Coturnix japonica: one gene and its partners. The protein of the gene in region 1 purifies or fractionates together with the protein of each later gene. This does not show direct contact. Links are inferred from orthologs where the notes say so. Each region holds a gene or a part of one and is shown in the gene's direction. Other genes may lie near its edges.

Evidence for each region. Proteins that work in one complex are often made in the same cells at the same time.
Region 2: the proteins of TNKS1BP1 (region 1) and CNOT6 purify together in Homo sapiens (affinity purification with mass spectrometry; 3 studies listed by BioGRID and IntAct, with this or other methods). This does not show direct contact. The link is inferred for Coturnix japonica from reciprocal best matches to the Homo sapiens genes TNKS1BP1 and CNOT6.
Region 3: the proteins of TNKS1BP1 (region 1) and CNOT6L purify together in Homo sapiens (affinity purification with mass spectrometry; 4 studies listed by BioGRID and IntAct, with this or other methods). This does not show direct contact. The link is inferred for Coturnix japonica from reciprocal best matches to the Homo sapiens genes TNKS1BP1 and CNOT6L.

What each region holds. Positions count from the first base shown.
Region 1 is NC_029520.1:7,742,217-7,752,618, reverse strand, and holds the start of TNKS1BP1 (182 kDa tankyrase-1-binding protein), read left to right. Parts: upstream 1-3,745; 5' UTR 3,746-4,304; exon of another isoform or gene 4,305-4,349; intron 4,350-4,654; exon of another isoform or gene 4,655-4,760; intron 4,761-5,018; 5' UTR 5,019-5,124; intron 5,125-5,628; 5' UTR 5,629-5,675; coding exon 5,676-5,760; intron 5,761-5,870; coding exon 5,871-6,510; intron 6,511-7,274; coding exon 7,275-7,350; intron 7,351-8,224; coding exon 8,225-9,484; intron 9,485-9,940; coding exon 9,941-10,402. Other genes in the region: FACT complex subunit SSRP1, read left to right, coding at 23-95, 581-719, 852-897, 1,445-1,568, 2,088-2,258, 2,533-2,624, 2,802-2,985, 3,180-3,248.
Region 2 is NC_029528.1:4,243,783-4,253,619, forward strand, and holds the end of CNOT6 (CCR4-NOT transcription complex subunit 6), read left to right. Parts: intron 1-486; coding exon 487-644; intron 645-1,182; coding exon 1,183-1,337; intron 1,338-2,002; coding exon 2,003-2,157; intron 2,158-2,614; coding exon 2,615-2,845; intron 2,846-4,103; coding exon 4,104-4,306; intron 4,307-4,956; coding exon 4,957-5,169; 3' UTR 5,170-9,097; downstream 9,098-9,837. UniProt on the Homo sapiens protein: Poly(A) nuclease with 3'-5' RNase activity.
Region 3 is NC_029519.1:30,864,884-30,874,726, forward strand, and holds part of CNOT6L (CCR4-NOT transcription complex subunit 6-like), read left to right. Parts: intron 1-4,284; 5' UTR 4,285-4,294; coding exon 4,295-4,406; intron 4,407-4,767; coding exon 4,768-4,954; intron 4,955-5,466; coding exon 5,467-5,552; intron 5,553-5,990; coding exon 5,991-6,080; intron 6,081-6,940; coding exon 6,941-7,009; intron 7,010-8,462; coding exon 8,463-8,620; intron 8,621-9,325; coding exon 9,326-9,480; intron 9,481-9,843. UniProt on the Homo sapiens protein: Has 3'-5' poly(A) exoribonuclease activity for synthetic poly(A) RNA substrate.

The sequences.
Region 1 (10,402 bases):
GACCACTTTGTCTCTGCTATAGGGAGGAGTACGGGAAGCTCTTTGATTTCGTCAATGCCAAGAAACTGAACATCAAGAACCGAGGCCTCAAGGAGGTACCTGCTGCACAGGGCTGGTTCTCTGTGCCCTGCTAGAATCAGTGGCCTGCAGGCTGGGGTGGGGAGATGACTTGGGGCCTTTTTTCTTCTCTCCAAAGTTTTGCTGCTTTTATTCCTTTTATTATTATTATTTTTCACCTTTCTTTTCTTTCCTTACCCTTGTAGAGGAAAAAGGTCCGTGCGATACCCCTTCCTCTTTCTCCTTCCTCCTCCTGGTGCAGGTTTCCTCTGCATGGCTGTGTTGGTCTCTGACTAAACTCAGTAACTGCAGCATGATTTGCAAGAGGGGCCCCCACCTAACTCAGATAACACCTTTGGGAACCTTTCCTGCCCCTCTCTGCATCCCTGATGAGAAGACAGGGAGACAGATGGGACGCTGTGTGTTTCCCAGCCTGGCCGTGCATGCTTGTAGTTTCTAGAGAATGGACTGTATGCAGATGTGGTCAGCATGGAGAGCAGCTCTCACTCTGTCCCTCCTGCAGGGTATGAAGCAGAGTTATGACGAATATGCCGACTCTGATGAGGACCAGCACGATGCCTACCTGGAGAGGATGAAGGAGGAGGGCAAGATCCGGGAAGAGAACGCCAACGATAGCAGCGATGGGTCTGGAGAGGAGACAGGTACGTGCTGGGGCTGCATGTGAGCCTCACTGCCTGAGGGGCTGCCTGGTGTGCTCAGGCTACTTCCTCCTCTGGTTGAATCCTGCTGTGTTCCTTGGCTGTCTATGCTCACCCCACACTCTGTCCTTTCAGATGAGTCGTTCAACCCTGGGGAAGAGGATGACGATGTGGCTGAAGAGTGAGTAGTAGGGGCTGGTCAGGAGTCTAACTATGGGCAGCTTTTGGAAGATGCCATTTGTAGGCACTGTGTGGGGTGGGATGGGGCCGTGAGAATGTTGAGGAATGCGTCTGATGCAGACAGTATCACTGAAAATGGCCTTGTAAGTTGGTGCGTTTCTGGTCTGTCTCTCGAGTTCTCTTGATGAGAACTGCAGTCTGAACAAGCGCTCAGGGGCATCGTGTGTGCTGATGGGAGTCAGGTTCAGCCCAAGAGGAGGGGTGGATCTTGGTGCCGTTCAGCTGTGAGGCATTGCAAATGCCTAAAGTTTACGGGAACTCAAAATGATCAGCCATGTTCGTGGAAAGAGAGTCCCCTGAGGGCTGTTAAGTGCAAGCAGAACAGCTTCAGCTCAGGAAGTCTCCGATCTGCAAGTTGCTGGAGGATGGGAGAGTTCAGGGGCAAGTCTTGCTCTGTGCTTGCCACTGCTACGACTCCCTTACCTCCTGCTTCATCTTGCTGGAGTTGAGATCTTGAGCTTTCCCTGAAACCAGGTCTCTTCACACAGGTTTGACAGCAATGCCTCAGCCAGCTCCTCCAGTGGGGATGGTGACAGTGACCGAGGTGAGAAGAAGCCAGCCAAGAAGGCCAAGATTGTCAAAGACCGCAAGCCCCGTAAGAAGCATATGGAGGTGAGAAGTTGTTGCTGGTAGAGTTGTGTAGATCAGGACTCACTGCCCTTGGAACATGGATTGCTGCTCCTATGTTTGGAGCAACACCAGATCCAGGTCACAGCACATCAGCTGAGCTGCTTCCCGTTAGCCTTCTGCTGTGGTCTGATCCAATCCCACCACCTCATTGTGCTTTGCTGGGTTTGGGTTGTCCAAGCCTGGCTCTTCTGCTTCCTGCAGGCTTTACTTCATCTTGCAGATGAGTCTAGATTGAAACACTTACAAAGTATATTGTGGTGTCTGAGCCTGGCAGTACCCTCTGATTGTTGGAGGACTTGCCCCCCACAGGTCCTTCACATCCACTCCACTTACTCTGTGGGTGCTTTCACCTTTGTGTGTGTGTGAGCTGACAACTCATCTGTCTGATTAAGTAGCTGAGTTACGGGTGGGATGCAGGAGGCATCATCTTGGGGTAACCAATTAAGACTTTAGTGTGTGGGGTATTTCAAGTCTTGGTTCTTTCCACTTCCTGCTTTCCAGAGCAAGAAAGGCAAAGACCCCAACGCGCCCAAGAGACCCATGTCAGCTTACATGCTTTGGTTGAATGCCAACCGTGAGAAGATCAAGTCAGACCATCCTGGTATCAGCATCACAGACTTGTCCAAGAAGGCTGGGGAGCTCTGGAAAGCCATGTCTAAGGAGAAGAAAGAGGTGGGTTGCTCTTCCAGTGTGGATTGCTAAGCCGTATGTAGGAAGGGAAGGTGGATGTCAGGATGCTCTTGCTTGGTCTCGGGATCCTGCTGCTCCATTAACGGATCAGGAAGGGAGGGTGGCAGTGGGGAGCTGACATCTCAGCTGGTGTGTGAGTAAGGTCTCCAGGTGGTCAGGGACATGGGTGGAGATCGTGTTGGACTCTGGTGGTGCAGATGCTCATGATGGTGGATGGTGTGGGAACAAAGTGCCACTTAACCTGCTTTTGCTGCAGGAATGGGATCGCAAGGCAGAAGATGCCAAGAGGGATTATGAGAAGGCCATGAAAGAGTACAGCGTGGGCAATAAGTCAGAGAGCTCCAAGATGTGAGTATGCTGAGCAGACAAGAGGGATGTGGCAGGGCTTCACTGTTCTGGAATCTGTCTGTCCTCAGCTGCTGTGGTGGCTGGGCCTCTCTGAGGCTGGGGGATTGTGAGATGGGACCAGTGAGCTGTCAGCAAGGTAATGCTTCTGTCTCTTCCACCCTGCCAACACACACACAGGGAGAGGTCTAAAAAGAAGAAGAAGAAGCAGGAGAAACAGATGAAGGGGAAAGGGGAGAAGAAGGGTGCTGCCTCCAAGTCTTCGTCCTCCACCAAGAGTTCTGCCAAGAGTATGAGTGAGAGCTTCAAGAGCAAGGAATTTGTCTCCAGCGACGAGAGCTCCTCTGCAGAGAGCAAGAAGGAGGTAGTAGGGCGGTTTGGTGGTGGGATTTGCTGGGTCTTATTTTACCTCATCCCTACAGGCATATATTCTTCCAGATAGCATGTACATCCAGTCTTGTAGCAGAGGACTGAGTTTGGTCTTTGCTATTGGCAGAGGAGCAGGTGAACATGAGCTGCTCTGCTTCTACTGTCCTGACTTCCCATTTCTTCCCACAGGACTCAGAGGATGAGAGAGGCGCCAGCCCGGCCCAAAGCTCAGAGGATTCCGGATCCGGCTCGGATTAGTTCTGTCCCCGCTGGCTCCAGGCTGGTTCCCAGATCAGCGTGAGGACTGGGTGGGCCGGCCCGCAGGAGGGGTCTGGCTCTTGGGCTCTGGCTGGCTCCGAACCTGCCTGGCCGCCCTTCCTCCTACCTCTGCTGCCAGGTGAGGGGAGGCACCGGAGTGGGGACAGGAGGGTGCCCAGCTTCACTGCTTGAGCCCTTTCCCCTCAGTGCCTGGCTACAGAGTGAAGCCCCACAGAGGGGAGGCCCAGGAAGGAGCCTCGATCCCACTTCTGCCCTGTTTCTCATCAATTTATTTTTTTTAAATACTCGGGTTTGTTTCGGTCTCTTATTTTTTTCCTTTTTGTATGTTGGGTCAGTTCACATGGCAACTCGAATTGAATAAAAAACACCCGCGGCGGGACTGCAGTGTGGGTGTGGAGGTGGGGGTGGGCCGGGCTCCTCTTCCCCAGGGGCACACGGTGCTGGGATGCCTTCCTTCTAACATCGCCTTTCTCCCGGCATCGCCTCGGCCTCCTTGAACCGCAGCCAGGGGCTGAGCTCACTCACAGCCCATCCATTAGCAGCCGGAGCCCCTTCCTGCGGCCTCCCTAATCCTGTTAGTCTCCATCAGCCTCCTAATGGAGGGCCGGCGGTCGATCCCGATGCCGTGCGGATGTTCTCTGTGCCCTGGAGGGCCGCACCGTGCCTGGGGGTGGTGGTGGTGATAGTCATTTCATCAGCGTTCCTGCTTGACCCCGGCATGGCGGCCTGGCTGCGAGTCAAAGGCTGCAGGGGAACGGGCTCGGGGAGACGGGGCTCGGCCTGGCCGCCCCCTCTGTAGGTCACAGCCGGTTTGTGGGGCCGCCGCACCCCGGGGTTCCCCTCTACCGCCCTCTCACACTCAGGCCCCGCACAGCCCGTGCTCTATGGCCGCTGGAGGTGCCACGCGGCGCCGCTCTAGTTCTCCGCTCTCTCTGCTCGGCCACGTGGGGTGGGCGCGGCCCGAGTGGGGGCGCGGTGGGTGGGGAGGGGGCGAGGCCATCGCTCATGAATATGCAGCGGCGGCGGCGGCGGCGGGTGAGCGCGGGCAGGGCGAGGGGTCACGGCGGGAGCGCGGCGTGGGTACGGTACCGGAACGGGGGAGGGGCGGCGGGCAGCTGGGTGGGGTTATCTGGGCACGAGGGTGGCGATGGGGTCGGGGTCCTTGAGGCCGTTCAGCCCGTCGTGCCCGGCGGGGCCGAGGCTCGGGCTGCGAAGGACACAACGGGCCGCCCGGCCCTTCGTGCGGCCCCTCCTCGCCGATGGAGCGGGGGGCTCCGTTTCCATGGCGGCGCTCCCGGGCCCGCCCGGCCACTCGAGCGGGGGCTGCGTTACCGTGACAACGCGGGCAGGCCCCGGAGGATGGGAGGGGGGAGGGGGCACCCCTGTCTCCCTTCCCCCTTCCAGCCCCGTTCCACACCTCCCCCCCCCGCCCCGCTTCCCTTCGCCTCGTCACCGAGCGGGGCCTCGTCAGCATCCCGGGGCTGCCAAGGGGTTGGGAAACAGCCTCGGCGGGGGGAGGAGGGGCGGGAGGGGGGGGACGATGGCTTCCAGATGTGCCCCCTCCGGTTCCGTTTGGCCGGGGTGGGGGGAGCCCGAAGAGAGAAGGGGCCCGAGGGGAGAGGGGGGGGGAAAGGGGGGACCCCGCATCGCGAGTGGGAAGGAGGGAGCGGGGAGGAGGCGAGGGGAAGGCAGGGCAGGGCAGGGCCGCGAGGAGGAGGAGGCACGAGCGAGTTTTTCCTGTCCCCGCAGCGCCAGTGAGTCACGGGGAGCCGTGCGGCCACGCCAAACCGGGCCTGGGCATCGCGGCCCGCTCCCCTCCAGCCCCAGACCCGGCCATGAGGCGACCGAGGGGCAGGTGAGGGGGGGGCGACCCTATAGGGCCCGACGGGGCTGGGGATCGGGACGTGGGAGCGGTATGGGCTGACGTGGTGTGCGGAGCACTTCCGTGAGGGAACGGGCAGCGGGTGGGGGGGCTGCCCCAGGTGTAGGATGGGGGGTCGGTGCGGGTGGACGAGGGGCTGGCACCGCACACAGAAGGCAGCCCAGGTGAACAGGGCTGGGGTGCACATATTTACTGAGGTGTGCAAGGGACTGGCACGGTGTGCTCTATGGTTGGGTGCTGCCGGCGGGTTGGGGCAGTGTACAAAGGGTGGTACGGCCGAACGGAGGCTTGGCGGTGAGATAGTGGGTTGGCACGGTGTGCTGCACTGGTATAAGAGAGTGGGAAGCCAGCAGCACAATGCAACATGCTGCAGGTACAGCAGGGACCGGGGGCACCAGGGTGAATGGGGCAGCAGGCCCCAGTGGACAGGGTGGACTAAGGTTCTTCCGTGACGTTTCTCCCCTCTCTCTTCTGCAGGGGCTGACTGCACGCTGAGTCTGCTGAGCATTAGCTCCGGCTTCACCATGGCCTCCCAGCCCCAGTCCCTGCACCCCCCACTGCCCTGTGCCTCCGGGGGGACCGGACTGGCGGCTGGCAGCTCTGAGAAAGGTGAGAATCTCCCTGAATGGCTTATATGTGTTTTTAACCCAGAGTGAGATGTCTGCAGGTGTTGTTGTGTTCTCCAACTCCCCATGTTTCTCCTCGTCTTTCTCCCACAGGCAGTCCTCGCCCCAAGCCTCCTGTCCGGCCCAAGCCCCGTGTGCTGCCCAAGCCAGCCGTGCCTGCCAAACCCTGCCTGCCTCACCCCCCACCAGCACCACGGCATTCTCGTCCTGAGCTGCCCTCCGCAGAGAAGATAAACCGCCTGGCAGGCCCCCAGCCGTACAGTGGGGGTGGCTCTGGGGTGGCCCTCAGACGCCCCTCTTTCACCATCAAGTCACCTGAGACCCTCAACGGGAAGGGGCTCCCATCCCCACCAGTTTTCACTCCTGAGGACTCGTGTTCAACCCCCAGTGATGAGGTGCCCCCGGCCCCATCGACGCCTTCCCGCAAAGGTCCAGCTCCCTTTAAGGTGACACCAGTGCCTGTGGCAACCAAGCTGGAGCGATTTCCAGGCACCACCGTGGAGGAGATTCTGGCCAAAATGGACAGCAAGGAGGGAAGCCCTGACCGGGCCCGCATCTCTCCCTTTTGCTCCGATTCTTCTTCTCGCTTTGGCTCCAAGATCTTCACCGCCTTCCGGAGACGCCCTAGTGGGGAGGCAGATGGAGACTCCCCTGGTGAAGCCCGCCAGCTGCTCCAGCAGGCTGAGGGAGAGCTGGGGACAGGGGGTGACAGATGCCCGATGGTTGAGATGAGGTGAGGGGCAGAGGATCGGTCCCAGGGACAGGGAACCATGGGGAAAGCATCGGTGGGCAGTTAGAGATGGAACTAAATGGAGCTGGAAGGGACCTGAGGTCTGGTCGCCAGTACAAGGCTGTTGTTCCTCCTAACCAACAGTGCCTTGAGCCGCCTTCGTGGGAAGGCTTGGTCACCCGCGACAACTCTGGTGGTTTATTAAAACCACAAGAATGGGCCGGCCCAGCTGAGGAACTGCCTCCACGCTTGCAGCCATCTGGGACTGGAACCTTGCCAGACAGCACTCCGCTGCCCAAGCAGGGAATAACGGGGGGTTACTGCCCCTGGGAAATGTTCCCCCTTTTCTCCACTCTATTTTTTTTCCTGCTAGTTCATGCTAGAGCAGAGAGGCCTCAGATCTGTGGGACTCCTGGCTGCAGGAGGGGCTGGTTGGAAGCCAGCACTTGGCTGTGCTCCCTAAAGCCGGGCACCTCTGGGAGCAGGGCAGGGGCTATTTTAAACCAGAGTGTGAGAAACTTGCACTCCAAAGGATGAAAAACTTTCCAGAAAAGGGGTTGTAGCTGAATTGCCTTTGCAATCCTAACCTACCCTGATAATTCAGGGCATGTTTCCAGTGCCCCTTACAGAGAGTTAAGGGTTGGTTGTGGTCCTCGTCCACATCCTTCTGTGGCCAGAGCCGGATGGTTTGGGGTTGGGAGGTGTGTGCTTGTGGGAGGAAAAATGGGTTGCACGCCATATTTACCCCCCTACCTGTTTTTCTCCAGCAGCATCTCCTCCCCAGCTGGCGCGAGCTGTGCCGGGGACCCCTGTGGACTCTGGAGGCCACCATCTCCCCCTGACGTGAGTTCTCGCCGCACCCTCCTGCGTCGCGGCCACTCCACTCCTGGGCTCTCTCCTTCGGGGCTCTCCTGTCTCCTCCGGGGCTCCCTCTCTGCGGGGTGCGTGTCTCTCCTTTCTCCTTTGGGTGCCAACTGCTCTGGGGAAGGCAGGTGACTCCACTGCAGCCGCAGCTCCCTCACAGGGTGCCCAGGTGCTGGGCTGGGCTCTTGGAACAAGAAGTGATTTTCAGTCCTGGTGCCAAGGTGGGGACAGGGAGAAGCTGTGAGTCACCAGCTGAGATTTGGTGACCGGGCAGGTATGTGGTAGGCGGGCCCATTCCGCTTCCCTGCCGTGCCCCCTCCCCATGCACTGGAGTGATGACAGAGACACCAAAGGTGGCAGAACTGCTGTGGAGCATTAACCCTTAACAGTTCTAGTCAGGCTTGGCCCACCCTTATCTGGGTGATGCTGGAGTGTCTTGAGGGTGCCCAGGCCCACGCGGGGACGATTGGGGTGGTTGTATTTTTATTTCTTCTTGCTTCAGTTCTTCCTCTCCATGTCTGTCTCTGCACGTTGATGGTTGGTGGGCACCAGCAGGGCTGCTGAAGCAAGGAGCAGGGCTCTGGGCACTGCTTGGCCCTGTCCTGAAGGGCATGCAGCTGGAATGGGAGCTTCTGGGAGCTGCCAAGGCTGAGTCACACAGGAAGCAGCTCTGGTGCTGGCAGGATGTGTGGGCAACTCTTGCCCATGGGGTTTAGGGGAGATGGGGCTAGGGACTATGACTGTCACTGTATGTTGGAGCTGTGCTGGCAGAGAGGACCTGAAAGCTGTGGCTGGGTGATGCCTGGGAGGTTCCCCTTGAGTGACTTGACTCCCCTCCCTGTTCTTCCTGCAGCTCTCCTCTCTCCAGCTGGGACCCCCTGGCTCCCCAAGATCCCCTGCTTGCCCACCCCCAGGAGCTCCTTTCCAGCCTGCTGAGCCTTCTGCTGCAGCCCCCGGTTCCCCTGATGCCCCTCCAGAACTGCTGGCCCCTGGCTCCCCGACCATGGCTCTTGAATCCCCCAGATCTCCAGCTCAGCCTCCAACTGAGGAGCTCTTGGCCACTTCCATCCAGGCTCCAGGTGCTCCCTCATCTGTGGCTGAGCCCTGGCTTGGTGCCTCCCGCTCCCCGGGCTCCCCACACACCCCCAGTGAGGGATCTCCCACTCCTGCCAGCCCCTCCACACTGGGCGCACCCCAGCTGTCCCCAAGAGCCACCTGCCCCCCTGGCTCTCCTGAGTCTGCCACCCAGCCATCACCTTCCCCGAGCCCGCCCCCTGAGCTCCCTGCTAGAGCTTCTCGCCCTCCTGGCTCCCCTGGGGGTCCTGATGACTCCCCCGTGTCCTCTCGGACTCCTGAAGGTCCTGATTTCAGCCCTCCTCCCTCTAACAGAGACTCGGGGCTGCGGCGCTCATCAGAGGGGGTGCTGCGGCCCCCTCCCAGTGAAGGGCAGGGCATGGGGTTGCTTGGGGGCTCACTGGGTGCCCTGCCCCAGCCCGGGGACCAGCCAGCAGAGCACTTGCTGAGCAGCGAGTCCAGCTGGAGCCTTTCCCAGTCCTTTGAATGGACATTCCCCACACGGGGGGCAAGGGGGCTGCCATCCCCACCCAGATCCCCCATCCAGGAGGCAGCTGACTCTGGGCTGTCTGAAGAAGATGAGTCGGACAGGGAGGGTGCAGCTACTGGATCCCATGGGGACAGCGGGGACGCAGATGGGCCTGGCTTTGCAGTGACAGGCAGCTGGGGAGCTGAGGGGGCTCCGTGCCCAGGGGGTCCTGTGGCTCAGCAAGAATCTGAGAGCTCGGAAGAGGAGGAGGAAGAAGAGGCAGAGCTGGACAGCACCGAGCTCCACATAGTGGAGCCCATCTTGGACCCAGCTGAACCTGAGCCCCCTGTCAAGGCTACCCCACCAGATCCAGCCCCCACTGAAGCTGACACCTGGGAGCCAGCAGATGAGCCTCCTGCAAGCCTGCAGGGCCTTGGAGGGCCAGGCCAGGATGAAGGCTCCTCAAAGGGCCCCGATGCCCACGCTGACCCACGCTGGCTGACAGAGCTGCTGGCATCACCCAGGGCCCGTGCATCAGGACGTGACCCTCTGAAGGCTGAGGAACAGGAGGTGAGGGAGCGCGTGGCTCCGCGGCACCAAGGGTTAACGGGTTGCGTGCAGCGGTGCGGTTGCGCTCCTTTTGGTGCAGCAGAGCTGTCTGACGAGTTGGGTGGAGGCTGTGCAGGAGCATGCGGTGCCTGCGGGGAGAACTGGGGTGGGGCTGGGAGCCGCGTGTGCGCTGGAGAACCATGGCTGGCGAGTCAGAGACCATGGCCATCCTCCGGAGGCTGCTGGCCAACCTGGAGCTGCGGGATGAGCTGGGGAGGGCTCAAAGTGCTGCAGGGTGGGAAAGGCCCTGGGCAGGCACGGTGGCTGTAAGTACAGGTAGCTCGTGAAGCTGGGGGGGATGAGCAGTTGGGACCTGGCCTTCCTTTGGAGAGGAGTATTGTTGGATATCCCCCAACCCTTTTCAGATTATCCTCTGCAGTGTTTCTCTAACTCTTTCTCCTCTGTTTGACTCTCCAGGGTCTGCTTGGCTGGTCACGGAAGGACCTGTGCAGTGAATTCGGTATTGGGAGATCTCATCAGGCTGGTGCTTTTGACTGGAGCCATAAGGCTGTGGCCAGACAGGGGGACTGGCCTGGTGAGATGGAGCAGGATCAAAAGTTCAGGACCAACTCAAGCAGGAACAACAGTTGTGGCATCAGTGATATGAACCAGCAGGATAGAGCCTTTGGTGCTGCTGAGAGGGACTGGAGCAGCAATTACAAAGGGACAGAACTGATGGGTGATACGAGGCTTGGCAGCAGTGACTGGTCCAAATCTCACGGTGCGAGGGAAAGCTGCCTGCAGGATCAAGACTTCAGCAAACCTACATGGGGTACTGGGTATGGCTTGGACAGTGCAGGCAGCAGAGAGGAGGTCAGCTCCGGGAAGGCTGAATGGGGCAGTCCCTACAGTGTGGGACATGGCCAGCAGCAGGACAAA
Region 2 (9,837 bases), on another chromosome or scaffold:
TATTTGTATTTTGTGGGAAGGATTCCTTGCCCTAAGTGTGAATCTGTGAAATTATGTGGATCTGTTTCAGCTGGTGGTACAAATTAGGATAGCTAATGAACTTATCCTAAGGTATGTAAAGTTCTCAAATAGATTATTTAAAATCAGTTTGAAACTCCTTGTTCAAGGCTTTCCCCAGTTATGCACTACTTAATGTGAAGCATATTTTTCAACTGTATATTGCATTAACCATATAAAGAGTTCTTTTGATTTTTGGTTTCTGTGTACATGTTAGTAAATGGCTGCCAGAAATCCCAACCTGGAGGTAATTTGTCCTCCTGGAAGGACTGAAAGATGCTTTTATAGCATAGGTGCAGGTGCTGTGTTTTGGTTGAAGCAAATGAAACATGGATTCATAGGTCCAGAGAAGACAAAGGAGAAGAAGATAATTGTATGTTTTTTTGTTGTTACTATAATCAGTATGTAAGTGACGTTATTGTTCTGCAGCCTTGTTCTCTGTCATGTGTTACAACGTGCTGTGTGATAAATACGCTACCCGGCAGTTGTATGGCTACTGTCCATCTTGGGCGCTGAACTGGGAGTACAGAAAAAAAGCCATTATGCAGGAAATCCTGAGCTGCAATGCTGACATCATAAGTCTTCAGGTAAAAGATATACTGTTATTTCTTTTCCCCTTCCAATTCTCACGTGCTGGTTTCTCTGTATTAAATATATTTGCTGTAACTGGTATGTTTTTCAAAACCCTCTGAAAACAAACAAAGAAAAAAAAGAAGTGGTGTTCAGAGCAATATTTGCTGCTTGACATCAAAAGAATGCTTTTCAGCCCACACAGTTGGGATGTGAACCAGCAGCTGCTGATCAAAGAAATGTATGTGGGGGTGTCTGTGTGTGTGCATGTGAGGGTATAATTGACACATTTTCAAATATAAGGCTTAGGATAATCATAACTCTGGGGATTACAGAAGTTCATTTATATTTTCTTCTTAAAACACGAATATTGCTCTCAAATTTGTATTCTCCAGTGTACTTAATTCTTAGGAATTCTTATGTTTTTTTTTTTTTTGTTTCTTTTTCCTTAATTCTAATTTGAAACTGATTTACACTTCTGAAGAGTCTAAATAATATCAGTCTTGTGTGGTTTGGTAATAGTAATTCACTGTGTGCTGTGTTCTGACTTTATAGGAGGTTGAAACTGAGCAGTACTACAGTTTTTTCCTGGTAGAACTGAAAGAACGTGGCTATAATGGATTCTTCAGTCCAAAATCTAGAGCTAGGACAATGTCCGAACAGGAAAGAAAACATGTCGATGGTTGTGCAATATTTTTCAAAACAGAGAAGTAAGTGATTTGGTTTATTAAGCTTTCCATTGCCTCTTGTTCTTTTCTACACGATTTCTTGGGTCATTCAAAAGTCAAAATAGTTTGCCACCGCTCACCCTTTCTTGTAGCTGTTTGGTTTTAACAAGTCAAGAGTTCAGTAAATTATGCTTCAAATGCTGTCATTACACATTAAAGATGTTTGCGTTTTAATTTTTATTTAAAAAATATATTAAATATCTCAAAAATGAATTCTCAAAAAAGAAATCTCAAAGGCTGAATTCAGACTACAAGTGGCGGTCATGGCTTTCCTTCTGTCCTTCTCCTTCGATTCCTTTTGTGTACACAGCGATGCCACAAGCAATTATCTAGTTGCTATTAAACCAGCAAGTTTGGACTAGAATCTTATGCAGAATGAAAATGAAGCACTCTTTCAGTAGTTGCTCCTTCTTTTTAAAAAATAAATGTTTTCATTAAAATCAGCTTAATATCTTTAAACAAACAAAGAAACAACTAGGAAAACAGTATCCTTTTGATTTCAGCAAATGATTTTTATGAAATTATAGGATGGGCTGAGACTTTCTCACTGTAAATGTGTTTGAGCTTAATTAAGAGGTGAATTTGTCTGTAACATTTCCTTTGGTGGCTGTCTACTGAAGGAAGTGTATACAATGTTCCTCTTTCAGATTTACTTTGGTTCAGAAACATACTGTTGAGTTCAATCAACTGGCTATGGCAAACTCGGAAGGCTCAGAAGCTATGCTGAACAGAGTTATGACAAAAGATAACATTGGAGTTGCTGTGTTATTAGAACTGCGAAAAGAACTGATAGAAATGTCATGTAAGTGCTGTTTAATATTTGATTGTGCGGTATTTTATCAATTGAAACAAACCAACCCTATCATCGTTTAAACCATACATCTTTTCCTTAGACATACAGTGTTCAAACTTACATTCACCCGTTAAATCCAGTTTCCTTTTTACTGCAACTTTGTGCTGGAAAACAAACAATGAAAGCACTGCAGTTTGAGGGATTCTGCTTGGAGATGTGTAAAGGTATCAGAGAACGAGTTGATATTGGATTATTCCTAATGCTTAGAATTGACTAAAGCACTGAGCACTCAGTAGTTACAAGAGGAGTTGTGTAGCCCTCTTAAGCTAAATGTTAGTAATCCTTTTCAAACAGCTGGTATTTTTTTCCCACCCTCAAACATCTTGTTTAAAATCAAACACAGGTAAATATGATGGTATTTTCTGTTGCTGGCTATGCAAGGTAAATATTTAATTTTAAATTTTAGCTGGAAAGCCGCATCTTGGGATGGAAAAGCAGCTTGTTCTTGTTGCTAATGCACATATGCACTGGGACCCCGAATACTCAGATGTGAAACTCATTCAGACTATGATGTTCCTATCTGAGGTAAAGAACATTATTGATAAAGCTTCTCGTAGTCTCAAGCCTGGTGTTGCAGGGGAACTTGGAACCATTCCACTCGTATTGTGCGCCGATCTCAATTCTCTGCCAGACTCTGGTAAGAGCACTATTCCTGTTGTTATTGTTTTATCAGACTATTTCAAGTGTGTAGCAATCCAAATGTCTCAATTTTTAATGGGATTTTTAACCCAGCGAATATATTGTTTGATATTGCAAGCTCTGAAAAAGTGCAAAGAGAATAAAAAGATGGAACTGCTTCTTTCATGAGTGACTTTTATTGCCTGCATAGTACTATAGCTCTACTTTTGTTTTTCAGAATCATTTTGATTGTTGTCCTAAAATATAGGAATGGGAAAGAAGAAAATGTCTTCCAGAGTAACTGTCAATGTTACTATGTTGCTGATGACTGGTTTATTTTTTATAATTGCTTTTAAGTGTGAAAATATCTGTTCTCTTCAAAGTTGCAACCATACAATCATTTTCTACTGCTCAAATGTTTTAGGACTTCTAAAACTCAAACCATCTCCTGTGAGAAAAGGATTCTTTAGAGCTCTTTAATAATGTGTAGATTTCTTTGTAGCAAACTTTATAGACTTTAAAGTCTATAAAAACAGCAGATTCAGTGAACCCTTTCTTGACTATTTCTCAGGTACCCAATCTGAGTAGTGAATTTGAGGACCACCCTTTCTTATTGTTGCTTACTACATGCTGTTATCTCCATCCCTAGTCCACCTTCCTTCTGGCCTCTACTTGGCAGCATCTTAGCCATTCCTATCAACCCTAACCTGATGCTATTGCCTAGCAGTGCTGGCAAAGGGATTCTCTGTGATGCCAAGAGGGCAGGTATTGGTGGCGCTTACTGCAGTGGGCAGTTTTTGTCTGATTGTGCCTTCAGAACACTTGGTCATTTACCTTCCTGAACCCTAACACGGATTAAGAGGCACAAGTATAATTTGTTTTATCCAGGCAGTAATCTGTTCTGCTTTGTAGCCTCTTGGCTTTCTGGAGTCATTTTAGCCAAGCGGGGTTGAAAGCTGAGATTTGTGTATGAAGATGCCTACCGAGCACCTATGGAATTCTACTTCCATCTCTTTTGTTTTCCCCAGTCCTCTCAAGACAGTCTATTCTATTTACTTTACTATTTTTTTTCTAATCAATGAATCTGTCTTTGTTCTAGGTGGCATTTGCTCTTGACACACATAGACACTGTCTCACAATATCTCTTTAAGATCAACTGCTGAGTATATTGTGTGTACTTATATAAAGCAGAAAATTGCACATATGGCTCCAAGTAATCCATGCACAGTTGCTGAATGCTTGTTAATACCTTATTGTGTATGTGCCTCTCCTAATAGGTGTTGTTGAATACTTGAGCACTGGCGGAGTGGAAACAAACCACAAAGATTTTAAGGAACTGAGATACAATGAAAGTCTTACTAACTTCAGCTGTAATGGGAAAAATGGAACAACAAATGGAAGAATTACACATGGTTTCAAGTTGAAGAGTGCCTATGAGAATGGTCTAATGCCTTATACAAATTACACGTTTGACTTCAAGGTAAGGACTTTACTGTTGCTTTGGAAAAAAAATTTCCATTTTTTAAGTTTTATTAGTGGAAATGCAGTTAGTTAATTGTTTAACAAGGAGGTTAATGTTTAGGTAAGTCTATCAAGTTCATTTAAAACAATCAAAGCATTTAGCAAATAGAATGCCTAAAATTTCCGTCTCCTAGAAATCGAGTTTTCCTTTTTCGTGTTAGTTTTGTAGTAGATCTGCAAGAAAAAGGGCACTGGTTTCCTTCCCTTTAAATAAGATGCTGTATTCTAATAATACAAGCTTAATCAAATACTGGAATTTGAATGGATAATGTGCCAGTTCCAAGGAAATAATCCATGCCACTACTGGAAAAGAAAGATGGCTCTGTTCTTGAAGTTACATTTCTCTGATTTTGAGGCTTTGTAAGAGAATGGAAATTACAGCCTCCAAAAGGAGAGCAGAATGATGTGGAGAGGAATTTGTTTCTCTAATCTGTACTGGGCTACCCACAGGACAGGAAATAGAAGTCTCCTAAATTGAAGATAAACTACAGCAAAGGAATGATAGCATTGCAGTTACTCCTAATGCTGAATTCACCTTTTGTTTAGGAAAAAAAAAATAACTTGGGTAAAGATAATGTACTAATATTGCTATCTCCCTTCTTGTTTTAGGGTATTATTGACTACATCTTCTATTCTAAACCTCAGCTAAACATACTTGGCATTCTCGGACCTTTGGATCATCATTGGTTGATAGAGAACAATATAAGTGGTTGTCCCCATCCACTCATCCCTTCTGACCACTTCTCACTTTTTGCACAACTGGAGCTTTTGCTGCCTTTCCTGCCTCCTGTAAATGGAATCCATCTCCCTGGCAGGAGGTAGTTAAATACATTTTAGAGGGTAACCTCAATCAAACTTGTACAATTGTAAAATCTGAATATAGAGGAGTGAGGTATGGCCAACAGGGATTTTTTTTTTTTCTTAATAATCTTAATCTTAAATCTAATTATTTGCTAAAGACATAGTAAAAGCCAGGTGCTATCAACAGACATAATTCTGAGCCCACTATACTTTGTATACTGTCGACAGTGATCGGTGCATTTGCACCTTTCTTTAATACGTTGCAGTTAACCTTCCTGTTTCTTTTATCCAACGTGACGTTTTCATGCCTTGAAATAGGGAATTGTTATACAGTATATTCTCTTTGCACAGTTATCTGTAGCACTACTTTTTTGAGGCCAGTAGGAACATCCACAGAACACTCTTCCGTACTTCACTCCCTCCTTTTTCAGACTTGTTTGTAAAATATAGAATTTGAATTTAGCCTTTATTGATTGTATATGAACAACAGAAAACCTGATTTATGAAATTTTGTACTTAAAAAAAAAAGAAATCAGATTTGGAAAATGATTGTATTGTAAACTAAGGCTAAATTTTTATCTGTTTTCATGTGTTATAAAGGCCAGCTTGTAAAAGAGGTTGTCACAGGTTTTCTCTGCTAACGATTTGCACTGTTAGGGTTTTGTTAGCCCTTTTGTACTACTTTCTATGTTCAATTGAGAACGTTGCTTTTAAAATCCAGATCTATAAAATTTCAGTATCTTACAGAGGACTAAATACATTCTATTGATCTCTGATTTTAAAAAAGAGAAAAGCATGGAGTTCTCACAGAACATATAAGCTAAGCAGTGAATATAAGTAGACCTGTATGCATTGAAAGTTATTGCAGATGTGTATACTCTCAGATATTTTTCTCATCTCTAACTTTTGAAGTAAAATGTAGGGATACTTGTGTATAGCTTCCTCATTTCTGTTTTAATACCTGTCCTATCTCCACTGTGCCTGCTTAAATTTGTTCTCAACTAGCACTGCCTGTGCATGCAGAGAGAGCCTGTGCATCCTCTTTTATGTTTTTTAAATAACGTTAACACTTGTGAAAATTTTATGAAGATACTTTTGTATAAGCTGTGGCATCTTCTTTTTTTTCCTTTGTGAAGCATTGGGTATCACACTCTGAACGTGTTCAGGTTATGGGTACACAGTTTCTAGCTTCTAATACCCATGCGCTGCTTCTTTCAGTGTCATTGCACAGCGCTCTGTTTCCCACTAAGAATTATCATGTGAATTCTCCTTAGTTTGAGTGTGTTCCTCAGTTTCAGAGTATAATTCCTTGATGAAGAAGATGAAACCCTTCCATTTTCCATTGATGAAGCAGTGTAGAAATAAATGCGTTTTTGAAGCAGGTCCCAAAGACAATTCTTCAGATCATTTTTAAAGTGACCAAGTCTTATTTTTAAAGTGTCAAGACTAAAGTTATTGTGTACCCTCAGTGCCATTTGTGTCACGAAGCCAAGTATACGAGAGCTCACAAATTTTAACTTGTGTATTTGTATTCTATGAGAGAGACGTTATCGTCTCCTTAAACTAATACAACACAAATAATCAATGTAAAAAGTGAAATAAATGGAGATAGAAAGCTTGATCTTAAACAGCTTTTGTTTCAGCTGCGGGCAGGGAAGCAAAAGGACACTGAGCATTAAGAGAACTTTCTAAATATTAAAATTTTTTATATATATGCGAGAGTGGATTGGTAACAGTGATTCAAAATCGTATTAAAAATTAGGAAGCACATAAGTGTGCTCAGACCGTCTGTTTGAAGCTGAAGGTGAACGTGGCAAACAGTTCGGATGTGAGAAATGTACATTTTTAAATTGCAGTAGAAGAAATTCTGATCTTGAATCCTTGTCTGGGACCTGATCTCTTGGGGTTATTTTGTTCTCGTTTTAGTTGTGAAGACACCAAACGCGTCCAGTTTATAATCAGTACATTGAAATGCTGGTAGTATTGCTGTAGTAAACTTAATGCGTAGTGTTATTTTTTTTTTTCTGTTTGGATTTTTTCTTTGTTTTCTTTTTTGTTTTCTTTTTTTTTTTTTTCTTTTTGTTGGTTATTATTATTATTATTTTTTTGTAAAGTGTGAATAAAAAGTGTTTTACTCATGTTTCCTTAATGATGTCTTGGTAATGTACATCATGACAATTTCCAGTGACGGCGAGCCCATTTAGCTTGTCCAGCTGAGCAAACTGTTTTTCTTTTCTGAGGATCTGGATTGTGTATTGAGTCCAGAAAGCTTTACAGAAGGGGAAGGGAAGCACTTATTCATTTTGTATTTCTTAGGGGGGGGGGTAATTTGCTTTAATAGATGCTGGAGCTTGAGTGCACTTGTTAGATTCAAAAGGTTTGAGCTTTATCCAGTATGTTTTCTCCTATATTTCTTAGTCTTAAAGAATATTTGAATTTATTACATCATTAAAATGTGGCCCGTTGTGCTTTTGGAGACACAGCTGTCCCTGTTCAGTCACCTGGCAGTCTAAGGGTCCATGTAAGTAACCATTTCAGCTTTTATACTAGTCTATCAGATCCCAACTGAAGACCCACTGAATACATGTAAGGCACTCCTTTGACTTCACTGGGTTTTAACTGGACTACAGTGGTCACTTGAGAGAGGAGGGAATGAGAAATAGTTTGAGTACAGGGAAATCACAGAAGGCGCCAAAACGGAGCTGAGATAAACTTCTAAAGAAAATACATTCGTACGTCAAGCAAATGTAACTCAGAAGTCTCGATTTCCAGCTATAGCATAGAATAAGGCAATAAATCTTGTCTTCACACAATCAAAACGTTTGCTTCATAGTTTTTTGACTCAAAATGATTGTTTGCAGTATTTTATTGGAGGTGGTTTGGGGTGTTGCCATAATGTACTTTCAGTGTTCATGTTGTAAAAGCACGTACAGCAAAAGTCACAGAACATCAGTGGGACTCGCTGAGGTTTGAGCAGGCTTTTTTCCCCTTAAAATAAGGTCGACCGTATCTTGTCTACTTGTATTTACATTTACAAAGAATTCTGGGATTCGAAATGTGAAATTGAGCATTCCTTTAGCTAAGAGGATTGATTACAAGGTGAATCCACAAGCTACTACTTTAGAATGACATCAGTTGGGAGGGGCGGAGGGGGAAGGCAGATAAGTCAGTGTCAGTGCATTTTGTAATTATTTTGTCCTTTTAGCTTTAAGAGAAAATAATACATTTGGCCACCACCTGGACAAAAGTGAGTTTGTTTAGAACATTGTACGTAGGCATCTTTGGTGTAACTTTAGCAAGTCTCTCAAGTTTGGGTGTTTTGTGTTCTTGTTTGGTTGGTTTTGGTTTTCTTGAGCAGACTTAGGTTATGATTTGCTTTTTCAGCCACAAGGTAAAACCTGTATTGGATACAAAAGAATTACAATGACATTGGAAAAGGCAACTAATTACACTGTAAAAATAGTACTAATCAGTTAACTGCGTAAGTAGCAAGCCTTTCTCATCCTGCCGGTCACAGTATTTTTTTAGTATGTTAACTGCTATTCTTTTCTTTTGGTTGCATAAATTTGTAACACTTAAGTGTCTTGGTATGTTTAAGTAGTGTCTAAAATAGAGTATCTTAGTCTTTATTCACAGTACTTCTGTATAACGTGTAATGCACTGGACTAACTCTTGTTTACCATTCATGTAACAAAAACCAGCACATTATCTGCACTAAGCTCAAAGAATGTTGCATTTGTCTATAGGCAGCTCTTCAATACGATAAATGGGAAACTGAATATGGTCTGATGGTAAACAAGGGCTTTTACTGTTCTCTTCAGTGGAACTTTCTTCTTGGTCAAATTTTAACTAGTTAGTATTATATTTATATACAGGGTCTTCTTTTTCCTTACCAATGTATTTTCCTACTCATAGCTGACCAATAAATCCAATATCTGTTTCAAACCTTCTTGAAGTCTAACTCATATTTTAACTTAGTTCTGAAAGCTTTTCCTCGAGGTACTTTTGTAGCCAAAGTAAGTGAAGGATGTCAAGGGTAAAATGGAAGCAAATAAGCAGCTGATGATCCCAGGAAGTCTTTCCTGTACTCCTGAGGACCAAAAACCTTTGAATCAATTGGGCTTGGATTGCAAAATCAAGAACTGGTTAATAATGCCTCCAGACTTTGTGGAAAATGTGTTCAAACAAAATAAGAAGCCTGTGATCTTCTGACCAAATTAGACTGCAGCTCTGTGTCTTCATATGTGGCCATCCTCTGCTCTTCACAGTAAGGTGGGTTGTATGGCAGTGCAGGAGCCGTGGGTTTGTTCTGTGACCCATCTCCTTCCTACCCCAGAAAGCCTAAGTCAGACTTGGGATCTGGCAACAGGAAGGAATTCAGAGGTTCCTTTTTTCATTAATACACCACAGAAGAGGAACAAAGTGAAGATTTCTTTCATCTTTTCGAAATAAGATTCAAGGTAACTTTTGTCCTTCCTTCATTTTATGATGACGTGATTTCTGCAGTATTTTCTCCTGCGTCGGAGTGTATACAGGTTGTAATGGCCACAAAGGTTTCAGTGGCCAGAAGTGCGGTGTTTTGTTTGTGATGTTCCCATCTCTAACTGCAGAAAACAAAATATCTGAGCATAATTGCTGCGTGAAGCACTGAAGCACAGAAGATGTTTCGCAGACACTCCTGTGTCGTTT
Region 3 (9,843 bases), on another chromosome or scaffold:
AGTCACACTTAGCAATTCATACCACTGACTACATCTTCCTTATCTCGTGGCCTCTGCACCTGGATAACTTGAGAAGATCTCAGACAATACAGAAGAGCAGTGCTCTCTTCTGTTGTTTCTTCTTATTTTTTTTGAGGTTCCAAGCACACAGAAGATGTGTTTGTTGCCCAAAACATCTCCTGAGTGTGAAAGCCTGCAGTGCACTGTGGTGGCTTGACACTTCCTTCCTCAACAGACCACGCTCTTCACATCTCCCCTGCTGCTGCTACGTGATGCCTTTTTTGTTGTTGTTTTAGTTGATAATCTATGCACTATGGTCTCAGATCCAGATTTTCTTTACACAATGTTAGTGCCATACTGTTAAAGTTAGATTTTTAGTGGAGAGCAAACTTTAATAGCTTCAAAAGTTTCCCAAGGGATCTCTTAGGAAGAAAAGGAGTCGAGGATTTTTTTTTGTCCCTCTTCAAAAGACAAGAAACAGAGTGCACGTATCCTGCTCCTATCACAGCCCTGTTAACTGAGTTTCAGCAAAGGCCTCGCTGAACTCACCCACAGCTCAGGCTGTCCTGAACCTGTGCTGCTTCCGTCCCACTTTATCCTTTTGATGACGCTGATGCTCATCCAGTTTTGGGGTTAAATGATGCAAGGAACTTGGTCTCGCTCCCTGAAGGCTGAGCAAAAATAGATGGGGATTTTTTGGTACTGGTTTAGTTCCAGAACAAGCAGAGAGGGAGATGGGAACCAGAGGAGCTGGGAACCCAGGCAGAATTCATTTTTGCTTCAAAAAAACCCGTATGCAGTGGCTTTCAAGTCCAGCTTCGTGTTGCTATTATGCCGAAGAAACAAGCGTATTTGATTTAGGTTTGTTTTCCCTTTCCTGTAACTGTGGAAATCATATTGATCCTCATTTGACTCACAACTATTTCAGAATAACATTACAGTGACTAACATCTGAAAAATGTGCGTGGCGTTTGACTCGCAGTTCAGGGCTCATTTCATTGGAGGGCCTCCGACTGCCACAAATTGCTTTAAATTGGCAGAGCTGTTCTCATAACAAGCGATATTTCAACATAATTGAATTGGGTTCCCTTCCCCAGAGGAAGCAGTACTCCCAAAGATCTCTGGAGATGTCACCCCACTGGTGGTCACCTCCTGGCCCACGGGCAGGTATGGTTGCTCATGGAGTGAGTCAGCCAGCCTTGCCGTGAGGGCCCTGGCGTGTTTGTTTGACTTCTGCCTGGTGGAGAGGAATGGAGCTGGGGGACTACTTTAGGGAGCTTAAAAACAGGAGGGAAACTGACTTTTTACTTGCTTAGATAGCAATAGGACAAAGGGAAATGGTTTTCAACTAGAAGAGGGGAGATATAGGTTAGATGTTAGGAGGAAAACCCCTTACTCAGAGGATGCTGAGGAACTGGCACAGGCTGTCCAGAGAACCTGTGGATGTCCATTTCCTGGCTGGAAGAGGCTCTGGGCAGCCCCGTGTGGTGGGTGGCAGCCTTGCCCACAGTGGTGGAGTTGGAACTATATGATCTTTAGATCCCTTCCAGCCCGAGCCTATCTGTGACCCAGCAGTGGGGCTGCTCGGCAGCTGGGGCAGGCCCCAAGCCACTTACAGGCTGTGATTCAATGCTTATGACAGCAAGGTCCCACAGCTGGACCCAGCCTACCCAAGCTGCCGGCCATCTGTGTCTGGCTAATGATGAAACGGCAAGCAAACAATTCATTCAATACAAATCATTCCCTGCTTGCCTTTTTAACTGGCAAGGTGCCTTGAAGCTCATAGGAAGCAGCCGTGTCCAAACCTTTGGCCAGCAGTGTGCGGCAGGGCGGGTGGGTGTATTCCGTGTGCAGATACTGAGATTTCCATCTCTCTGGGTCTGCTATTGCTATAACATTATGCTGAAGCAAACGGGAATGCGAAGGCAAGCACAGCCCATCCCATAGAGCATTCACTCAAGTGCCGTTCAGAAGCAAAGTTTGTGATGCTGCAGCTGTCCCAGGGCCAGACGTGGGAGAAGAAGAGCTGGGTTTCAGAGGCAGCAGATTAAGAAGCAGAATGAGGACCCGTCCTGGTTCAATTCAAATGTTTGATGATTAAGACTTATAGTTCCCAAAAGCTCTCTCTTACCATAAGCCCTTAATCCTTTGTTGGTATTCCACTTGATTTTCACCGCAGAGCCTTTCGGTTCCCCCCCTTATAATCCATACTGTGCCTTACGGATGAAATACATGCTGCCAGGTAATGAAATCTCATTTTCTGTTAAAGGATCCTTGCGGGTAATCCTGTGACAGTGACACGGCGTTACCCACTGCAAAACCAGCTGGCTGCTTTTTGGCGTGGATGGATTTGCTCTCTTTTGTGCAGTTCCTGAATCGTTAGGGCTGCGATCCTGCTCTGGGCATATATCCTGTCAAATCCCTTTGTGAGGCCAAGGGCTTCCGTGCATCCATGTGTTTAACAGTGAAAATAAATCCTGTGAGAAGAAGAACTGGAAATTTAGGACTACCAAAGCACAGCCTGTACCTGCGGCTGTACTGGGCAGTGCTGCTTCTGATTTGGGGATTTAAGCCTTTCAGGTCTGATTCTAATCTGTTTCATTCATCTCCTCAAACTGCATTGCTACAGCTGAGCAGCGTGAGCAAAGAATCCTCTTACACCACAGCTCTTGTGCCATCTGACTTCACCTGTAAATAGCAAGCCACTATGATTAGCACTTCTGTCTGTGCCTTCTGTCTGTCCCTGGAAACAGACAGTCTGAATTCAGCATGAATGGGATTCCCTTGCATGGTCATTGGAGGGCGAAGACATAGACCTTTAACTGGGACCTCTCAAGAAGGGCAGCTCTTCTCTCTCTGTGGAATGCCAGGGATCTTTCCTGGTTGGAAAAACAGCAGTGCTTTAAGCTCAGCTCACAGAAAAGATGAGTGCATTAGAAGGGAACTGAAAGCCCACCCAGCCCCTACACTGTACCATGGGCTGGGCTACCCCCCAGTTCAGCTGCCCAGGGCCCCATCTGGCATGGAGCACCTCCAGGGATGGGGCAGCACAGCTTCTATGGGCAGCCGTGCTGCTGCCTCACTGCCCTCTGAGTAAAGGATTTCCTCCTAACACCTAACCTGAACCTGCCCTCTATTAGTTTAAAACCATTTTGACTTGTTCTATCACTATCTGCCTGTATAAAGAAGTCAGTCTCCCTCCTGTTTATAAGCTCAGATTTTTGTGTTTCGGCAGTTGGATGAGCTGAAGAAACCTTGGATGAGTTTCCTCAAATTCTTCATAGGTTTCTGTCTTGTCAGTTCAGCAAACCAAACCAGTTATTGTTATTTTAAATTATTCACAGCTATTGGAATCCATTGTAAAAGAGACATGTATGAGGAAAAAAATGCATTCTGGATAGCAGCTGCTTTGGATTGGTGTAAGATTGAGGTTTGTGTGTTTTGTGTGTCTGGGGAGGAGGAGCGGGGGGTGAGAAGTGGTGAACACAGAAGTCAGCTAATCTTGTGTTTTTAAACCAAACAGATCCTCTCTCCCTAAGAATTCTTAGTGCAATGGTCTGATGAGGTATGAAGGGGAACCTCTGTTTGTCATCCATAAAGTGCACAGCTTTTGAGTTCTTATGCCAAGAATCTGGAAAGTGAGATCATTTGGATGTGTGTGTGCAGGCTTACCCTGCGGGCACAAGTACCTGGATAGTTCAAGTTTTGGATTGGGATGAAGCTCTGTTTGTATCACTGAGAAAGGGAATTGTACCCAAACTTACTTTAGATCTTCCCAGCTTCTAGGAGTAAAAAGGTCTTGATTGATAGTGAGCTTAGAAGAGCATAGAGCAGAAAAGCTAGATGGTTGATGGGAAAAAATAAGAGCTAATTCCCCTTCAAACTTCAAGTTTTCTGTAAGTGAATGGAAAAGGAGGATTTTGCATGTTGAAAGCAATTGCTGTAAAAATGCAGTTGTTATTTCCTGTGAAAATGAAGTGAGGGAGAAGTCTGCTCAGATGGATGAGTGAAATGCCATCACCTTGTCTGCATGTTCTGCTCACAGCAAGTAACTCAGTGATGATGGAGGTCATGCTTTGGTCTAGGGTATAAACTAAAAATCCAGAAATTCTGCTTTGGAAGTGTACGAGGGAACACTGTAGAAAACCAGATTCTTCAGGGAAAATGCCTTTTTCCATTACAAGTCCATGTTCTGCATGGGTCTGAGCACCTGCTGAGCTCCATGCCCTGAGCTGTTTGGCTGGTGATAACATTCAGGCAGTCACGGTTATCAATGTCTTTCAGACTAACAGTGATGCCAAAGGAAAAATATGATCCTCCCGATCCTCGCCGAATTTACACCATCATGTCAGCAGAAGAGGTAGCCAATGGAAAGAAGTCTCACTGGGCTGAATTAGAGATCTCGGGTGAGTTGGTTTGCGTTTGAATTTTGGTTTGGCAAATTTAAGAGCTTCACAGCCCAAGGGCTGCATCGGCCACTCTCAGGTAGGGGGTCCTGCAGTGAGAACGGTTTTTCTACATTGAAAAGAATTATTAATTAACTTGCCAGATTGCCTTCAAGCTTTCATGTGAAACACAAACAGACTGGATGTGCGGTCTTAGCAGCACGTTGATGTCCCAGACCTCTGTCTCTGTCTCTGCTCTCTTAACCGGGAGGGTCAGGGAATTGTTTAGGAGCTGCTTGTGGATAAGATGCATGTCACACGTGGGTTGTGATGGTTGGAGGGAGTAAAGCTGACTGAGGAGGTGCTTGGTTTTCTTTTTTAGGTAGAGTGCGGAGCTTAAGTACGTCGCTTTGGTCACTGACGCACTTGACTGCTCTACACCTCAATGACAATAATCTTACTCGCATTCCACCTGATATTGCCAAGCTTCATAATCTGGTGTATCTGGACCTGTCATCCAACAAACTCAGAAGTTTACCAGCAGAACTAGGAAACATGGTGTCTCTCAGGTAAGAGGAAGCATTTGGGTTGAATTTCCAAAAAAAAAGTCTGTATTCTGAGATTAGAGATTATTTTAGTTGGATTCATTCTTGTTTCCTAACTCTATTCTTGGATTTAAAACCTGAGAAAAATCAAGGTTGATACAAATGTTCAATTCTAACAATTAATCCTGGTTGTATGATCCTGTTTTCCTGATCCCTACAGATAGCTAACCATAAGCTGGGTAGCATTCTGCTCTGAAACATTCTCACTTTGAGACTTTGTGATTGCCCACTGTTTAACTAGTGTCTGATTTTACTGTGCAGGTTGGTTGTGGTTGGGCTTTTTCTTTCGCTTTGTTTTGTTTTGCTTCGTTTTGTTTTCCTGATGTATTTCAGTTGTGCTTCGAGGATTTGCATGTCTTTGCATAGCACAAAAAATTCAGGGTGAAAAGTGCCACCTTTGAAGATGAGCAGCATCGTGCTGTAAGAGTTATCTCCCAGAGTGACACTCATCAAAAGTGTTTTTTGCTTTGTTGCAGGGAATTGCTTTTAAATAACAATCTATTACGGGTTTTGCCTTATGAACTTGGACGGCTCTTCCAGCTACAAACCCTGGGTTTAAAAGGTGAGCGAGCTCTTCACAGTTAAATATTTCTCAGAGTGCTCTTGACTTACTGAGGGAGTTGTGCTCAGAAGCTTCCTGCATTACCTCAACATTTTCTTACAGTTTCACATATTAAGCAGCAATGACCGACCAGTTTGGAAAATAATGCTTTTTTTAATGATATTAAGGTGCAGTATGAACCTGTTTTAAATCTGTAAATGGGTAGACAAACCCCATAACTTACTTTGTTTATTGATTGAGGTGAATCAAAAGAAGAAAGTCTTGCATGCAAGCTATCTCTATGGCATCTGTTACTGTGGTATTCAAGAGTTACAAGCTAAGCAATCTAAATTCCTTCTGGGTCAATTTGTCTGTTCTCATTACGGGAGATTTTCTTTTATTGGAAAGCCTCAGGAAAATCAGGCAGCTAATCACCCAGTTGTTCTGTGTTGTTGGCAGGCAATCCTTTATCACAAGATATTCTCAGCCTCTACCAAGATCCAGATGGAACTCGAAAGCTACTGAACTACATGCTTGACAATCTAGCAGGTGACAGACCTACAGATCTTGATTGACAGAAATGTTTTAAGAGCATGCATGTCTGACAGTATTTGCCACTAAAACAAGAAGGGTGAACCACAGAGGGGAGAACATTTTCTTACTGCTTCTGTGTTTTTGTTAAGCACTTCTACTCATACACACACACACACACACATGGAGGAAGAAGTACATAGATACTGTCTAAGCTTTTCACCGGTTGCCCAGCCAGTTGTTATCACTGAGGTTTGAAACCCTTCAGTTACCACAAAGTCTTCCTCGCTAAAGCCATTTCGATACTAGAAATTAGAATGCAAACAGAAGCAGAATGTCAAACATAGAAACAAGATTCTGATTAAGAATATCCAGTACCTGTGCCATGGCTCTGTAACCATGTAACCAAACAGTTTTCTGTTTTGCCACTTTGTCTCTCATGTGGTAAAACAAAACAAACTTCTGTCTCTGATGTAAGTTTCCACAGATGGAATTTTAAATGGTTTTGGGATCAGCTCCCAGCTGAGCTTTACAGTGTTGTAAAATGGCTGTGGTTTGAGGTGGCACTTGTTTTATGCCAACTCATGGCAGTCTCTGGCTTTGTAAATGGAGAGTATGCATTGCAGGAATGATGTATGTACAGCAGAGTTCTCAGAGAGGGGAGTATAGGATGTCAAAACAACTACAAGGTTTACCCCTTCTTCCTCAATAATATTTTCAAGGTGCACGTGTATATCCTCATCTTTCATGGAGCTTAAAAAGACATGGGAAATTGGTGTTGCAAAGTACAGTATGGGACATTATTGTTCATTCATCAGTTTGATTTAGAATTTGCAGCTGAGTTAATGGTTGCTTCTTTGTCTTGCTTTTATTTTTAGTTCATCCAGAGCAGCTGCCTCCAAGGCCATGGATTACTTTGAAAGAACGAGACCAAATTCTGCCCTCAGGTAAAACCATGGTTCTTTTCCCTATGTTCAAACAGCGACGTGCTGAAGAACTTTTCTTTGGCTTCTTTTTTCAAAGCCGTCTTCTGTCTTACATGGATCAGATGTAAGAGAGCGATTTGCTTTAATTCATATTAAATAATTAACACATGTTTGTGCTGTAAGTACCATTGCTGTAATTCAGATGGAATGCTGGTCCATTTCTTTGTGTTAGGCAGACTAGGAGGAGACTTGGAGAAGTTGGTCCACAGGACAAGGAGCAGGAGGAGTGTTAGTGAAGTTAGTGTATCGCCCTCTGTTGTTGAAGTTGAGGAAGTTCACGAGGCAATCTTCAGTCTACAAATCCGGTGCCTCTTCCCCTGTAGTCTTGACTGTAACCCTCAAGAAGCATCCAAGAGCTTTTGTAAAGAACAAAAACGCTACTGTTGTTATTGCAGAAGATCAGGTTAATAATCAGCAATGGCGATGTGGAAATCCTCTGCATTTTTTTTTCCGTTTTAGAAACCCGAACATAACTCAGTAGGGCGTTAGGGAGGGTGACACCATAGGTAAGATCATCTGTCCCTTTGTTAAGTTAAAGAACAACAAATCAGAAGAAACAAAACATAGTAAGAAAGGGGAGAGGTACCAAAAGCCTCGTAAGCCACCACTACATTAAGTTCTGCATTTCCAGCATCTCACTGCAGTTTTTAATCCAGCTTCCTTAGGAGAAACACAATTTAGAAGCCATTAGACAGCACCACATCAGCTGAGTGAGCTGTGGGATATTTCATGACAAAAACTACAGTAAGCCAATTGGCTGTGAATTGCATGAAATCAGTTGTATAAAGTTGAAACAACTGAGCAGTGATCTTATTCGACTACAAGCACAAAAAATGCAGCTGTGAGGTTACCTCACAATAAAACCTCACTTCTTTTTCTGCAAAGATGAGCAGTCTTGTTGAAAAATTAAGGAGAGCTGAGAACTTTGTATGTTAAAGAAGTGTGTTTCAGTTTGAATTATCAGCTGCATACAGACTTCTCTCTTTTCTTCTTTAATGTCCCCAAATAATATAGAAAGTGCTTGCTCATTCATTACTTCATTTCTCTTTCTTTTCCTCACCCTCACCCAGGGCACAAATGGCTGCTCCTTTCCATCTCCAACCCCCAAATCCAGAGAGATGGTTCCTAATTGCTGCCTTCCCTCATTCCCAAAGAAATAAAGATTTCACTGCAAAATGGGATTGCATTGCTTTGCTGTGTGTATTAAGCAGTCTCATTTTGGCAGTTAGGAAGAGTTTAGCCTTATAACTGCTGGCTCAGCTGGGTCTTTGTTAGTCCTGTTCATGAAACTCAGTGGAATAAGCCCATGTACGTTCAGAATAAACTGTACAAGATTGAGTGTTTTCACTCTGCAAGTTCAGCATTTGCTGCCTTCAGAGGTTGGTGATATTTCCATCTCTTTGTTTCCTTCTAGCCTCATTCACAGTTATGTGTTACAATGTGTTGTGTGATAAATACGCCACCCGGCAGCTCTATGGCTACTGCCCATCTTGGGCGCTGAACTGGGAGTACAGAAAAAAGGGAATCATGGAAGAAATCGTCAACTGCGATGCAGATATCATTAGTCTACAGGTAACTGGAAAATGTTTTTCATTAGAAATAGAAAATGCTGCAATTTCTGTTCGGTATGGAAGTTAGCATCTCAAAAATGATCTCACTAGGAAACGAGAACTGGCATGTCAAAGTTAAATATCAGTTGTGATTGGTACATGTATACTGCTATTACAAAAAATCCATTGTCAGTGTGCAGAGTAATTGAATACTTCTGCCTTTAAACTGACAGTTTGTTTTCTAAGCAAGGTCTGTATGAGTAAAAATCATGCACAAGAAAAGATTATTTATCTCTGTGCAGAAACCTCAAGAGAGTGCTCTTGGAGATCAGAAGTTATTACAAAGAAAATGTGTTGTTACAGAACAGGGAGAGACCCTGCTGTGATAGAGCTCCCAAAGTTAAATATGAACTGCTGCCGATACCTGTCATCCTGCACAAAGTTTTAATCTAGGACAGTACCCACATTCATCTCTCAAAAGCAGCAAAGTAATCTGTTGCTCATCAAAGTACACCTGGCACTTTCCCTTTCAAGGGGATTCCAGGATATCCAGGAAGGCACATCTGATTCCATTAGGCCATTAGTTGAAGAAGTGACATGACTTGGGCAAACAGAAGCTTTTGACTTTGGTAAGGGCTTCTGATTGCAAGGCAAGACAAGCACTAGCTGTCACATTGGAAAGGTTTACTTGACTTTGTTAACATGCAGTATTTGTGTTCAATTTTAGGAAGTGGAAACAGAGCAATACTTCACTCTTTTTCTGCCAGCCTTGAAAGAACGAGGATACGATGGATTCTTTTCTCCAAAGTCACGTGCCAAAATCATGTCTGAGCAGGAGAAGAAGCATGTGGATGGCTGTGCAATATTCTTCAAAACTGAAAAGTAAGAAGCAGCTCTTCTTAAATACGTCAGAAGTAGTTTAATTTAGGTCTCAAGGTCTCCTCTCAGTGTGCATAAAACAGAAGATAAAGTTCAGTACAAAGAAAGATCCTCCTTCTCCTTTTGCTGCCCTGACTATTTGCAGCAGGCCTTCCCCTTATTTTTTTTCCCCCACACTGTGAACAAAGCTGTATCTTAAGGAACATGAAAGTTAAAGGGAAGGTAGTATGAGTGAAAACATGTATGTTTCACATGTATATTTGTTGGCTGATATAATAAATGCCTCACCTTCTTTACAAATTCTGCCTTGCTTAACAAGTTTCCTCCCTCTAAGATTAATGTTTAAAGAATCATAGAATCATAGAA